Linked DNA regions of Rhinolophus ferrumequinum. The protein of the gene in region 1 interacts with the protein of each later gene in a biochemical or structural test. Links are inferred from orthologs where the notes say so. Each region holds a gene or a part of one and is shown in the gene's direction. Other genes may lie near its edges.

The links.
Region 2: of the proteins of PDGFRB (region 1) and PTPRJ, one has a biochemical effect on the other in vitro, tested with the Homo sapiens proteins (2 studies listed by IntAct). The link is inferred for Rhinolophus ferrumequinum from reciprocal best matches to the Homo sapiens genes PDGFRB and PTPRJ.

Annotation. Positions count from the first base shown.
Region 1 is NC_046307.1:22,396,382-22,404,331, reverse strand, and holds the start of PDGFRB (platelet-derived growth factor receptor beta), read left to right. Parts: upstream 1-4,946; 5' UTR 4,947-5,407; intron 5,408-7,807; 5' UTR 7,808-7,950. UniProt on the Homo sapiens protein: Tyrosine-protein kinase that acts as a cell-surface receptor for homodimeric PDGFB and PDGFD and for heterodimers formed by PDGFA and PDGFB, and plays an essential role in the regulation of embryonic development, cell proliferation, survival, differentiation, chemotaxis and migration.
Region 2 is NC_046294.1:13,428,302-13,435,781, reverse strand, and holds the start of PTPRJ (receptor-type tyrosine-protein phosphatase eta), read left to right. Parts: upstream 1-4,473; 5' UTR 4,474-4,639; coding exon 4,640-4,900; intron 4,901-7,480. UniProt on the Homo sapiens protein: Tyrosine phosphatase which dephosphorylates or contributes to the dephosphorylation of CTNND1, FLT3, PDGFRB, MET, KDR, LYN, SRC, MAPK1, MAPK3, EGFR, TJP1, OCLN, PIK3R1 and PIK3R2. Plays a role in cell adhesion, migration, proliferation and differentiation.

The DNA of each region.
Region 1 (7,950 bases):
GTTTCTCCACCCCACACACTTGCACACTGCCGCTTAGGGAGCAGAGGGGACAAAATGTAATTATCCAAAGAAGCACTGTGTCTGACAGGAGATAGAGAATCCAGGGAAGGAAAGGAAAGTCACACAGTGAGTCAGTGGTCGAGCACGGGCTGGGGCCCGGAAGTTCCAGCTCCCTGTCAGGTGCATTCCTGTAGACTCTCAGATGGAGAGTGTTGCCCCTGTTAGCCCGTTCTCCACCTCAGTGACCTGATCTCATTAGTCACCTGTTCAAAATGCTGGAGTGGTCCCTCCCGACCCTCCAAATAAAAGCCAGAGTCCTCTTGGGCCCACAGGCCCTGACACCTGGCCCCTGACTACCTCTCCTGCCTGTACCCCACCATGTCCCCTCTCTGGGCTTCAACCATTCTTTTCTTTCTGTTCAAGCACACCAAGCTCTTTCTGGCCTCCACTCTTTTGCAGATGCTCTTTCCTTTACCTAGAACACTGTTCCTGTCCCAGCATTGTGTGTGGCCTCTTAACCTGGGGTGTCAGTAGAAGTAGTCCTTCCCTAGAGAAGCCTTAGTCTACCTAAACAAGAATGCCCATCTACCCAGCCCATTGTTCTCTTCCTTTCGTGATATATCACAATTTGTTATTATTCATTTGTGGTTTCCTTGGTGTTTGCTTGTGAGCTCTAGCAGGGCAGGGCCCATAGTAGGTGCTCAGTGAACTTCTGCTGCGTGGAGAAATGGTGCCAAGAACAGGACGGCCTGGGAGTCAGCGTCAGAGGCCTCATTCCAGACTTGCTATGTGCTCCTGAGCAAGTTCTGGCCTTCTCTGGGACCCAGTGTGTCTGGTGTGGAGAGATTTGTGGCTTCAGAGGGTCCTGCTGTTGTGATGATCCTTGAGCCATCTGTGTACCAGAAGGGGCACTGAGGCTGTGTTCCCTGGGGCGCTGAGGCTGAGGCCAGCTGGAGGCTGGGGACAGGCCGAGGTAGGTAGAGTCTCGAAGCCCTTATCTCCTGAGACCCTGTCAGGTCTTGGTGGCACAGTCTGGTCCAGTAAGAGCAGTCCTAGTTATCTAGGGCAGGAATGTGGCCTAAAGGCCCGCATTAGTCCCTCTGCCCAACTCGACAACCAGCCACTATGCTGAGTGTCCAGGAGGGGAAGGGCAATTCCCACTGTGGGCCTCTTCTAGCTCCCCGGCTGCAAGTACAAGGACCTACCTGCTCAGGGTGTACAGGGTGGAAGGATACTGAGCTGGGGGCCAGGAGTCCTGCTAACTTTTCTCTCTCTGCTAACCTTGGGCAAGTCCCCTCTGTTCCCTAGGCCTCAGTTTCCATGCCTGTATAATGAACTCACTCTTAGGACTCTTCTGACCATGACTGTGCTGATGGTGCCTGGGTAGACGTGTGCTGCTTCCTCGGCCTGAGCCTGGGGAGCCTGGGGGTGGAGGGGCCAGTCCCGGGAGCGTGGGAGAGCCAGATGTGGTGGCCGCTGGCCCTGCCTGAGTGAGAACTGAGCCGGCCTACTGGGAATTCTCCCACTCAGGCGCCCTTTCAGGACCCCTTCTCCCCCCACACCCACCCCACTGAGAACTGTGGCTTCCGGCTCTGTCAGGCGTGGGTGGGGGGCTGGGGGGTGGTTTCGTTCAGCCTGGTTCCCTCCTTCAGGAAGCGCATGGGCCTGAGAGTCTAGACAAAAACTTCAGTTCCAGTCCTGGTCTTGCAGTCATTTTCCATCACTGGGCCTCAGTCATCCTGGCTGTACAATGAGGGGTGGGCTGAGCTTTCCTCCTGCCCTGATGGAGGGCTGCTATGACAGCGGCTCCCAGAGACACCTGAGACTCCGTCACCTGTTGTGGATCTTTTTGCTCTGCTGCATTCCTTGTATAAAATGCCTTCTGTGCATCACTTATTTAGGCCTCTCAACAACTCTGTGAGGTAAGCACATGTATCCCCATTTTATAGCTGAAAACACTGAGGCTGAGAGAGCTCAGATCATGTAATTTGTCCAGGACCCACAGCGAGGAAGAGGCAGAGCTGGGTCGGAACTACAGACATCAGAGCTCAGCTTGAACGTGCCGCTACACAGTGGGGAGGAAGTGCTGGACCCCAAGGCACAGAGCTCCGCTCTGCCTCTGCACCATATCCCACTCTACGTCAGGCAGGACTCCCACACTCCACGCCATGCCCACCCACTCTCAGCCCAGCCTCCTCCAACACAGGATTGTTTGAGGCCGGACCAGGCTCCCGGCATCTGGGCAGGTGGGAGACTGTTCATGGCTCCTCCTGGCCATGCCAGAGCAGAGGTGCTGCACTGCCCACTGCCCACCCCTTCAAAGTGCACAGGGGGAAATGAGGTCCAGAGAAGGAGGGCTCAGCCCAGGGGCACACAGTGATGGGGTGCTGCTGGAATGAAACCCACTATTTCAATCCTACACTTCCAGACACTGTACTGAGTAAGCCCTTTAAGTGCATTACATATGGCAACAGTTCTACGAATCATTCCTCAAATTATCCATTTTCCAGAGGAGAAAACTGAGGCTCAGAAGCTTAAATGACTTACTTGCCCAAGGTCACGTAGCTTGGAACTACAGAAGCTAGGATTTGAACCCAGCTCTGTCTCTGGTTCTCAAACCTGCCCTGTCAGTCATGACCCTTCTGTCTCACCCGTCCCGCCCTCGGAGAATGCCCTGTTGTGTTCCACATGGCTCTGCACCCCCCCAGCCCCATCTCAGCTAAAAGGAGGTGTAACAGCACTGGTGTCTGCCAAGGGTTAATGGTAGTAGGGGCTAAGTGATTCCAGATGGGCCAGCCGGAAGATTGGGCTGGCCGGAAACTGGCGGCCGCCAGCTTCCCGGGGGAGCCACCACCAGCCACCCCCGCCCCTCTGCTGCATCTCTGGCCCCCAGCTGTCCCCTTGCCCTGGGGCCCACCAGCCTCCTCTTCCTAGCCAGAGTCCAACTCTAAGGAACTTGCAGACAGAGCATCCCAAGGGCCTTCCAGCACAGTGAATCCTCCCATGTGTTATGGGGATGGGGAAACTGAGGCTCAGGGAGGACAAATACCTATCCAAGGCCACACAACAAGTCCACAGCTGGGTCTCCTGACTCCCAGACTAGCTTTTGGAAGGACTAGGGATTGCAATGCCTCCTTGCTGTCACAGAGCTGTCTTAGTCCCAGCAGTTGGGCCAAGACTTTGGAGGTGAATGACCAAAGCAAATGCTAGGAAGGGACTTATAAACACCAAAGGAGTTTTGGGCACAAGAAATCCCTATATGGCCTGACCCTCTGGGTTCGGAGTCCCCCGTATTCCCCTATGACTTTGCTGCTACCAAGCTGGGCCAGCCCCTCTTTTGGGAGGCTCTCATGGCCCCCACCCCTTGCTCTGGGGCCAGTCTGAGAACCGTTATCCCTCTGTGTGGCCCAGCCCAGTTGCTCTGCTGTGCAGTCCCCAGGACAAGACCAAGAAATGACTGCCAAGAGAGGTTACTGTGGTTAGCATGAAATCCCAGCTCAAGCAAACCCCCTGCCCTGTGAACAAGGCCCTGGGGGAGGCAAAGATAGAGGCAAAGAAGGGCAAAGACAGAAGAGCAGAGGGCAGGATGGAAGGAGCCCTGAGAAGAGTCAGGCTCTGTCCATGTGACCTGGGATACCTTTCTGTCCCTCTCTGGGACTCAGTTTCCCGTGTGTACAGTAGTGGGAGCCAGGGGTAACTCACCACTCTTAAGTCCTTTTAAAATGATGCTGTGTGGCGTGTAGGGGCCAAGAGTTTGTGGCTAGCGACACCTTTTGATCTGAGGACATGAGGAGGGGTGGAGTGAGGGATGAGGGTCTGGCCGGGGTCCTGGAGGAGATCCTGGTGGGGAGGGAGGGCAGGAGGGTAGAAATGGACCCTAACAGGTACTCGGAAACACCTGTTGAGTGACTGAATGAGAGACGGGAAAAGGGATAACCTAGGAAGAAGGCAGGATAGCAGGGCCAGTCTATACTGTAATGTGGTCCTTCCCTTGTCTGTTCCACCGTGCCACACGTGAGACCCAATTCTGCTCCAATTCTGACATTGCTGTGTGAGCTTGGGAAACTCATTTCACTCCTCTGGGCTTCAATCGCCTCATCTATAAAATGGGGAAATAACCCTTTCCTGGGGTTCCAGGGGCTTTAAGATGATAGAAAGGGATATGTCTGGAAACCTGAAGTATGCTTAGTGACCTTGGGCAAGTCTCTTTTCCTCTCTGAACCAGTTCACCGCTGGGCCTTGGTTTCTTCTTCTGCGAAGTGGCTGATAATCTTGGAAGGTCTTTCCATCTCTTCTAAGTCAGCTCTTCTCAGAAGTCCTCTCTGATTCCCTCCACCCTCAGTCAGCTGACCCTCTAGCTCCACTCTCAGATGCCTGCCTCCTCTCAAGTGCCTACCTGTGCACCGTCTGTCTCTCCCACCGGCCTGGGCACTTGTGAGGTCAGGGACTGTGTCTTACTCACTCTGCATCCCCAACACCCAGTGCAGTGTCTAGTAGGTGCTCAACATGCTGTTCAATGAATGAATGTTGACTGAATCAACTGTATAAGGGATCAGACCTCCCCTTACAGATGGAGAAACTGAGGCACAGAGAAGGGACCTGCTCCCAGGTGCCACGGTAAGTGGAGGCTGCTACCTGAGATGGGCATCAGTGGAGTGGGGCTGGGGCACTCTTTAATAAAAGTGACTCAGCGTCTGGCGTGGGCTGTGGAATTTCTAAACATCCCCTCACATCCTGAGAGAGCAGGCGACGGGAGGGAGCAAGCAGAGGGAAAAGAGGAAGAAAAACAAGAAACTTGGGGGGAAAGAAAGAGAGAGGGAAAAAAGCTGAAATTGAAAACAGACGCACGCGTCCACCCTCCCCGCCCCACCGCCCCCCTTCTCTCAGCTGGGCCAATCAGAGGCTGCCCTGCAGCCTTTCCCCCAAAGTAGGGGGGGCAGGGAAGCCGGCAGTGGTGTGAGCGTTGGGGGCTGCCAGAAGCCCGCAGTCCCTGCCCGCCCGCCCCGTCTGGGACCCAGGATCGCTCTCTGAGCAACTTGGAGTGGGAGAGGAGGAGGACGAGAAGGAAAGCGCTGGGGCCGCTCTGACCAGCACTGCAGGGCAGCAGCCAGTGCGGAGCGACACAGACAGCCAGACCCAGGGCGGCCCCTCCTGGCAACCCTGCTCCTCCCGAAGGATGCCTTGGGCGTGAGGCCACTCCTCACCCCTGCAGCCCCCCACTTCCTCCCCTCTCCCAAGGCTCCGGGAACCTACCACGGTCCTTTCTGCTCTCCTATCTAGCTGTTGCCCCCATTTCGGGCCGGCAAAGACTCTCTGATAACAGGAGAGGCAGTGAGGAGGACTTCCTGGAGGGGGTGACAGCCCAGAGCCCGGGACCTTGTGCACATCAAAAGGTATCAGCAGCAAGGTAAGTGCTTGTAGAGGGGTGATCCCCAACTCCTTGTCCTGTCCCCAACTCCAGCCTGTGCCTTCTTGGATAGGTCAAAAATGGAAAATATTTTTAACAAAACCAGATGGGAGGAGGCTGGAGGCTATGGGCGGGGGACATCAGCGGCGCTGGAGGGACTAGATTTTTCCTCTCTCGTGCTCAGTCCGCGTCTGGGGAGGGTGGCCCCAGCCTCCTCAACCCTGCTGCCCCCTGCCCTCATCAAACAAACCCCAGAGGTTTCTGGGTGCTGAGTGGGGGCCTCCAAAGCACAGCAGTGCCTATGGGGGATGGGGCGAGTAGGGAGGAGCATGAGAAGGAAATTGGGAGATGGCAAGCAGGGCACACCAGAACGGGATCTAGCAGGGGCCAGGGAACCTCAGAGCCATAACCCCTGTCCCTGGACCTAAGCCTTGTCCCTACGAATCTGTCTGGCTCTAGGCCAGTGGCCGCCAGGCAACCTCTGGGGATTTAAATGGATTTGCAAATTTTCCAGATTCCTAAGATGTCCTTCCAAACCCCCAGCGGCTGGGAAAGTGCAAAGGCGAGGGGGCTGGCACTTGGCAGGCCATGTTCAGGCAACTAGGGCTGGGGGTCTTGGACCCTGCTGGCCATCAGATCTGGGGGCCCCTCTGTGAAGAAGGGGGGTGGGCCGCTGGGCCCTTTCTCCTGGTCCCAGGCAGCTGCTCAGGCCTCCTGGCTGTCTCCTTCCTTCTGGACGCTGCCCCTTCTCCACTCTATCCTAAAACATGAATTGGACCAGGATTCTTTCTGTGACTCTCCCAAGTAGAAAGCCCAAACTCCTAACCGCGCTGCCACTGATTGACACTTACTGCATGCCAGGACGGTGTGGAGAGCTTTGTAAGTGTGATTTCGCGTACCACTCACCAGCAACTCCAGAGGCAGGGACTGATTTTACGCCTGCCTTATGGGTGGGGAAACTGAGGCTCACAGCAGCCACAAAACTGTCCCACACAGGAAGGAAGTGGCAAAGCATGGGGAGGTAGTGCTCTCCTTGCCCCATCACTCCACACTTGGTCCTGTGGTCCTATTCCTTCCAGTCAGAGCCCAGGATTCCCAGAAGGAATTTGCATAATCCTGTCTGTGGACTCGTTCTTCCTCATCACTTCCACTTTCCCTTCAAGGATTCTCCCTATTTCACCTCCTCCAAGCAGCCTCCCAGGTTCTCCAAGTGCTCGCTGTGCCCTTTGTGCTGGAGGCTTGTTGCTTGGCCCTGTCTTGCTAGTCGTGTTCTGTTTGCACATCAGTGGTTGATCAGGCCCCTAGCTTCCCCATCTTGTGTTCTGTCCCCAATTTCCCCAGGTGGGCAATAGGGCTGAGAAAATGTGCTGGGGAAAGGGAGGAGGGACTCACTGAGGACTTTCTGTTCCCAAGTGTGAGACGAGAACCCAGGCCTTCTGTCTTCCCTCAGAGGCCCTTCCAGAACATCGTGCGGTTCTTCCTGAATGCATTTTTTTATGTCAAACAGGGAAGAGTGTCCCTGCCTGCCTCTGTGATCCCAAGGTGCACAGAGGCCTCTAGCGTGATCTTCTGAAGTTAAGAGTCCTCCCCTGCCTCCAATCTGGAGGTCCCCGAATCCACGACACTTGTTGGTCATTGTCACTGAGTGCTGACTCTGTGCCAGGTGCAGAGCCTGGGACCTCACATGCCTTGGAATCCCCACAGCAGCTCTTTGGAATCAGCATGATTCCCCCTGCTTTGCAGACAAAAAAACAGAGGCTCAGAGAAGCTAAGTGACTTTCCCAGGGTCACACAGTAGAGGTGGTATTTAGGCCCCCGGTCTGCCTGGTCCTAGGGGAGCATATCTCCATCCGCCCACATAGCCTGCGCCTGCCTCTAGCATGGTCCGAAGCAGAAGGTTCAGCAGCAGCCTGACCTGCTCCTGGGTCTGCCCGACCCTGGCTCCGTCTGGAGTGGGGAAGAAACCCACCTGGTCCGCATCCTCCCCTCCCCCATGCTCAGGCAGCCCTCCCTCCTCTGTGGGAAGAAGAGTTGAGACTTGTAATTGCCCACAGATGTGGGGCAGTGGAAAGCACCGTGGATTCAGAGTCAGGAGAGCTGGCGCTTGCCCTGGCTTAATTCAAATCCACTGTGTGGCCAGCCTCAGACCCCCACTTGTTCTTTCTGGGCTGCCTCCGCATCTGGAGGGCAGTGGGCACCGTGGGTAAACAACACCAGGTCTGAGTGTCAGTTGGCCATGCGTTAACCCCCGAGTTGACTTCTGCCTGACTGTGTGACCCTGGGCTACTGCTCTGCTCCTCTGGGCATCAGCTCTCAGCTCCGTGAGCGGCAGGGCGATATGTGGGTCCCATGAGATAACAGGGTAGGTCAGACGCTTAGCACAGTCCCTGCATTTCACAGACAGGACCTGATACCATTGGCTAAGAGAGGGCCGCTGCTCTCCCGCCTCCTGCACAGGACACTTGGCTGTGAAATTGGTCTGCAACCCGTAAAGGACCATGCCCATGGAAGGGGCCTGGCCAACGTGCGTATTCTAAAGGCTC
Region 2 (7,480 bases), on another chromosome or scaffold:
AACTGTATTGCCACATATGATTTTTTATTTGCTTATTTAGATTGCAGGGTATGTTCTTCCCTACTAGTGAGATTCCACTACACAATCGTTGCAAGTTGATGTCTTACCCTAATTTCTTACCCAGGTGGTCTATATATCCAGCACAATGTGATTAAGATTTTTTTTTTCAACCTGAAAAAAAAAAAACAACATTTCTTTTCAACCTGAACAAAATTAATTTATTTTTAACAAGCCTGGAAGGACTCAGCCGCCGAGAAGCCCTGGGACTCCGGGCCTCCTGCTAACTCTCCCTCTTGTCCTTACACCTCTCAGCCGTTTCTTTGTTCGAGGTGATGTTTCTGTTGCAGGCTTGACTGCCTCCTGTTCCTCCTCTTGCCACTTCTGGTCTTTGTGCAGAAGTCATTCTCAAGCCCTGGACAAAAGCCCCTTGTCCCCTAGGACCCAAGTCTCTTTGTCACGTACTCCCTGTGTTTCCAGGTGCCCTATGACAGAGGTCCTGGGTCTGTCCTGCCAGAACACGAAGGTACCTGCATGTTCACTGGGACCTTGACTGCAGACCTACCTAACAGCCGTGAGCACAGCGGCCAGTGGGCTCATCCCTGTGGGCGCCTAAACTTGGAGAAAGGGTGGGGACTTCTGAGGGCAATGGTTCTGTTTCTGTTCTCCAGACCCTGAGTTGGCTACAATAATGGGCTTTCTTTCCTGCACTGAAAATCTGTCACATGCCACTGTTTCTTTGTAAGTCAAACTCTTTCCTATCTCACACACACACACACACACACACACACACACACACACACCCATACAAATTAGGAAAATGCTTAATGTTGCAAGTGTTTAAAGAAAGAAACTGGAAAGGCACAGCTAAGACACTCCCTGACTCTGCAGGGCAGGTGATTAAGGCTCTGTTTAGGGAGGAACTGAGGTCTGGTGGACAAACATGGAACTCTAACCACAGCCCAGTTATTAGTCCACAGGAAACATCCTGTTACTATTATAAAGATGAAGTGCTATTTTTTTTTTTTTTAAAGAACTTTCTAAAAGTCTTCCTTTTCATTCTGATTCAGTTCAAATCTGTGAGGCAGGAAGGTCTCAGGGCAGCCATGCCTGCAACATTAGCTAATCAGACTCCCAAGAAACATTCCATTCTGCTTAGGAGGACTTTGGAGAATGGTTTGCTAATGGTGGCTTTTAAAATAAACTGAGGGTTGCCAAGCTGAATGGACTCCCTGTGGGGCTGGTGACCTGGTTCCAGGCTGGTGCCTCAAGGTTTACCTCCTGGTGGGATGGTGGACGTGCCATTAAACATGGCTGCTTGCCTGTTCCCAGTTCTTGGACAATGAAGTAGAAAGTCTTGTACCCTCTGTCCCTTCCCATTTTAAAATTGGGAAAACTGAGGCTCAGGAGAGTAATAATAAAGGTAATAATAACAGCCAATACATAGAGGACTTTATACAAACTTATCTACAAATGTCAGGTGGGGGTCCCTATGGCAAAATGGCAAGAAAGACATGGTTTCATCCCGGTTTTGCCACTCTTAAGCTGTGTGACCTTGTGTCAGTAACTAAAACTCTCTGAGCCTCAGTTTTCTTGTTTGTAAAATGTTGATATAATGATACCTATTCTACAGGGTTGTTGTAAGGAGTAGAAATAATGGATGTAAAGTATCTAGTGTAGTGCCGGGCACCTGGGTACCTTATCAATGGTCTTTGTTGCTGCTAGGGACACAATGCAGGCCAGTCATGGCATGAACAGTGTTTTCCAATCTTGCTTGACAGCAAGAATGACCCAAGGAGCTGGTTAAAGATACAGATTCCCAGGCCTTATCCTCCACAGTCTATGGAAAGGCATGGGAATCTGTATTACAACAAGGCACCAGGTGATTCCCGTCAGGCACTTTTGGAACACGTCCAGGAACCTTCCACTCCAACCTCTTGGTTTGGCTCTTTTGTTTTTTATGCACTTGGTCCTACATTCCGTAAAAGATCTAGCTTTTGCTGAAGGTGGACATGATTAAAAGGCCAAATATTATTATATATTCTCAAAGACAATGTGCCCTGAACTTTGCACAGTAGATTTATCCCTGAAAAGCTGTTTGCAAATGGAATTTGGGGTGTGTGTGTGTGTGTGTGTGTGTTTGTGAGTGTTTGTGTGTGTACTGGCATGTATATAATACCTTAGTTTGCAATTCAGAGGAATGTATTCAATTCAACTACATAAATATTGTTGGAGTGACTGTTATGTGCCGGGCATGCAGTGATAAGATGCAGGCCTCATCTTCAAGGGGCTTACTTAGAGTCCAGGGAGGAAGATGGTCAAGTAAACAGGCAATTACAACACTGCGGGTAGATACGTTTTGCACAGGGAGCTAGGAGCACATGGAGTGGGAAGTGCACCCAACACACGATTGGGGCATCTGGGAAGTTCCAGGGGAAGTAGCATCTGTGCAAGAGACCTATAAACTGAAATCTAGCCTCAATTTTTTTGCAAAGTGAATGATTCTTCCTTAATTTATCCTGGCAGAAAAATGAACTTTCATATCATGTTACCCCTGGATGTATTTATACAAGCACGCGATGGCATAAATATCTAGGGGCAAGGCACAGAGTGAGGTGAGGCCGGGTACCCATGGGGAGACAGGCGCAATCCCTGCCCTCAGGGAGTTTTCACCACACCTTCCCGGGATTAACTTCTTTTCTCATCTAGGTCATTAATCCAGTGTGATCTGTTTATGAACAGGTAGTTTACTATTCAGGTCTTAACTCCTTTTATTGAAAAGGCTGTTTATTCTCTTTCATCACCATGTGGTGGAGAAATCCGGTTCCAAACAAGACTTCAGCACTGGTATACATTTCATCTAGGAGAAAATAGAAGTGCACGCTGAAGTTTACAGAGTGGTTCGCAGACCCAAGCCAAGAAGCCATGGAAGCCTGGATGGATCTATAGGGTCTGTAGGGTCTGAGTATCGGGGCAGACATGGCAGTACCCGCCGTACTGCCTTTCCTTCCTTCTGGGCATCGTGGATATGAACGCCTTTCAAACCACCTGTCTCTGCCCAAGAAGGAGAGGAGGCAAGAAAGATCAGAATTCCTTGTGAATTATAATTCCATCATATTTAAACAAATGATGGCAAGGTGTAGAAGTCAACAGCTTGAGGTCTCCTTACCTTCTCCGCTGACTTGGGTGTGTGGTCTGGTAGGAGCCACTTAGACCCTCTAAGTGAAGGTACATCCCCATAGCCCAGATGGGGAACCTGAGCTACTGTGGTGTCTGGAGGCAGTGTTGGTCATCTGGCTGCACATAGAATCCAGCTCAGACTCGTTATGCTGGCTTTCAAAGTCTCCCCTAAATATGAGCCCCCCTCAAACTCCCACTCCCTGTTTTTCAGAAGGCCAAGCCTGAAACATCCATCTGCCATTTTTTTGCCTGTTGCTCCCACTTCCTGACATGTTGCCCCCCTCAATCTGCCTGGTGAAATTCAACCCATCCTTCAAAGCCCAGCTCAGGTGTCATCTCTCCCCCTGGTTGGAATTCATCTCTCCCTCCCCAGCACCCTTTGGTTTGGCCTTATCTCTCATTACTTTTCCTTGGGCAACTGGCTCAGCCTCCCAGGTCCTTAGTTCCTTCCTCTGTGAATGGGCATAATAGTAACATCTGCAGGAATCTTTAACCCCTTAGGGTCCTGGACTTCTTTGAGTATGTGATGAAAGCTGCCAGAAGAGCTAACGTTTATTGAGGCCCACTCTGTGTCAGGACTGATGGTTAGGACTTTTCCTCTCATTATCTCATGTGATAGTTCAAGTCTCTCTAGCCCGGTACTCGTATGACCTTTATTTCACAGATGAGGAAAAGATATCACACAGCGAGTAGTACTAGCAGAGCCAGGTGTACCATATACTAGAGCGGGTGTCCTAATCCCAGGACCCGCTCCAACGCCACTTCTCTGCTTCCCTAGCTTGGCGCTGGGGGCGGGGAGAACACGACACATATCTCCTATAATATAGGGGTTCAAGCACCCAAAGCCCACCCACAAGCTGGGTCAACCAGGCCTTCGCGGGGTTGCTGTATTCACGCCGGCCTGGCTGTGCCCTCGGCAGGGATTTCGGTTAATATCTGGTGACCCAAACCCGAGGCCATGGAGCGGGCCCGAGGCTGGGGCGCCCGTACCGAGGGGTGCGGGCTCGAGGTGCGAGAGTAGCGGAGCTGCGTCCCGGGTCCCAAGTCCCAGGAATGTGGGAGGGCCTGGCGGAGAGGGCGGCTAGGCGGGGGCGCTTCCTCTGCCCGCGGGAGGGGAGCTGCCAGGGCGCGCGCGGGGCGGGGGCGGGGGCTGCAGCGGAGGGCGGCGAGGGGCCGCGGGGCTCGGCCGCCGCCGGGCCGGCGGGGCGGGAGGAAGCGATGAATATTCAGAGGGGGAGGGGAAGGGAGGGCGGGAGCGCTCGCCGCGGCTCCCTGCAGCCGGAGCCGCATGACGCGCGGAGGAGGCAGCGGGAGCCGCCGGGGCCGCGGGAGACGCGATCCGGGCGCCGCGCACAGGGGGTGGGCGCCGCTTGCTCCGCCCCGCGAAGCCCCTGCTCGCCCAGGGACGTATCTCCCCCGCGGCCGCCGCGCCGGGCCCCGCCGTGTGGCCGCCGCCGCTGCCATGTCCCCGGGGAAGCCCGGGGCGGGCGGAGCGGGGACTAGGCGGACTGGCTGGAGGAGGCGCAGGCGGAGGCGGCGGCTGGAGGCGGTGAGCAGGGCGCCCGGGATCGGGCGCACGGCGGGGCCCGACTCGCGCGGCCCGGGCACGTTCCAGGGCGCGCGGGGCATGAAGCCGGCGGCGCGGGAGGCGCGGCCACCTCGGCGCTTGCCCCGGCTTCGCTGGGCGCTGCCGCCGTTGCTGCTGCTGTGTCGCTTGGGCCAGGTGAGCAGCAGGGGGCCCAGCCGGAGGGAGGGAGGGCGGGGCGGGACTGGCATCCCCGGCACCTGCCCGCGGTGCCCGCCTGCGGGGTTCGGAGGGGTGGCGAGGGCCGGAGTCCTCGGAGCCCCCTCCTGGAGGGCTCGCGGGAACCCGGCCTGCCTCGCGACCGAGCCCCTTACTCGGCTGCCCCGCACCATAGGGCGGCCGGCGGGCTACGTGGTGCCCGAGCTTTCCCGTGGAAGCCCCCGCGGGCTCCAGGCCATCTCTGGCCCGCCCTTCCCGGAGCTGGTCCCGTCTGGCCGGCCCGGCTCTCCCGCCCGAAGCGGCCGGAGGGGGCGTGTGTGCCGAGGGCGCCCGGCACGGAGCGGGGCCAACCCGGCCTGCAGGGCCCGAGGGGCCGGGCCGAAGGGCAGCGGCGGCGGCCGGGGAGCGGGCAGGGCCGCCGGGCGGAGGTCGAGGCGCGGGGCCTCCGGGCCGAGGGCACCGCTTTTGGGGAAAGTTCCCACCCGGGGAGAGGGGGCCACTCGCCGGCGTCCTTCCAGCGGACCGTCCTCTTCCCGGGGAAGTCGCTCGCTTCCCTGGGGGTTTATTTCGTGCTTGGTGGGCGCCGGCTCTCCCCCCACCGCCCTGTGTTCTCGCTTCGCTTTTTCAGATAATGCTGCGCCTGGCGTTTTGGTGACCGAGCTTTCTGAAAGCGCCGTTCCCCCTTGGTGGTATTCCCGCTGGGGGGAGGGGCTGGGCAGCGGGGAGACGGTCCCACTTCACAGATAGGGAACTTGAGGGAGAGAAGTGAAAGAGCAGAAGCACCCAGTCCTGGCCGCGGGTTCGTCCTCACAGCCTTCTAGGAGCCCGTTCGGGTCTTGAACCCGCAGTGGAAAGGTCCTTGGTGATACCCTGCTGTGTATGAAAATGTTGCTTGTTTTATACAGAGAGCATCCCTCAGGAGGTGATGTTTGAAACCTGGGAAGTGAGTTATTGTCTGAGGATGGAACTTGGTTTCAGGGAAAACTTTTCAGGAAAACATGATTGTCTGGGAACAGAAACATCGGCCTTGGGGCAGCGATACAGCCCAGTAGGCAGGATGAGGAGCAGAGGGTGCTCATGTCCCTTCACAGTTGTCCTCAGCAGGCTTTGAACAGGCTCTCCTGAGGACCTGGGAGGCAGTGTGACCTGCAACAGAGAAGAGTGAATCAGGTCAGGTGTCAGAAGAAGCTCCAGGGCCAGACTTCAGGGCTGGATTCAGGGCTGGACTGGCTCTCCAGCTCCCTCCGTCCTCAGGTAATGGCATTCGGAGGATGAGTGTACAACCACCTGCCCCATGGATTGTTTGGGGCTTCCCCTGGCTAATGTCTGAACGAGTTTTGTAAACATTACAGGGTGTCCAGATGGGATTATTATGAAGGTACAGTGTGTATGACTGCTTTCTCCCTGTTCTTGTAAGGAAATTCGTGGAGAGCAGTCTCTGAAATTAAAAAAAAAAAAAGGCCTCATAATTGAAGCTCTCTTGCACCAAAGTCTACCCTAAAGAAATACTTGATCTTCACTTATTTTTAATTTAGTACGTGTATATTTTATTATATTGCATTATTAATTTTCTTGCTTTGGTCTCGTGGTGGTTGCTAGCTATGCTTTGAATCAGCGAAAAATTTCTTGGGTAAATTTATTTCTTGCCCAATCCTTCCTTGTATTTCAGTAGCATATTGCCACTCCACACTTGTCCCCTATTCAGATGTTTCCTTCCTCTCTAATTTGTTCTGTAGAAATGCAAGAAGACTCTCTATATTTCTTGTTTTTTGGCTATGTTATAAAGTAAGAAATCTAAAGGGCTCTCTGAAAAAGCATCTTCAAAATTCATATTTATCAGTTCATCTTTATATTGGCTATTTCAAGGAATCAGTGCATTTTCATCTGGAATAGATTTTCAAGATAGCCGAAACCCCTCATTTCTTTTAGATGAGGATATTGAAGCCCAGAGAAGACAGTGATCAGGCCGAGATCCCCTGGCAAGACAGTAGGCTCTCCAGAACTGGAATCCGTGTCTCCTTCCTGCCTGGGCCTCGTATTTTCCTGATGCTTTTGTGTGTGTGCCATATTTTCACTTTGCTCTTTTTTAACTATAGGTACAGTCCTGCCTCACTGTGTGTACTCCTGAAACTGTGGGTATAACTTGAATTTTTCAACATCAAATCATATTTGAGATTGGAAGTCATATTCAAGATTTTCAAAGCTTGTGTGTTAGGAAATGTGGTTGAAGGTATCTGACTACCTCCCTGACACATGACTGGTTTTGTGAGGCTTGGGGAGAGAGAGAGAGAGAGAGAGAGAGAGAGAGAGAGATTTAAAATGGTATCAATTGTAGCAGGTTAAAAACACAGACAAGTCACAGAGAAGTCACAGCTCTGTTTGGGCATTAAATGAGGACTGGTGTTGGAAAGCTGAGATGCAGGAGGACTCATTGCTTCGTAGGGCTGGAACAGCAGTTTTTGAACCTGGCGTCTCATTCCACTTTTTTTTTTGTCATTTCACAAGACAGGAAGGATGGTCCGAGATGATTCCAGCCTGAAGACTTTGCTGGTTGCAGTG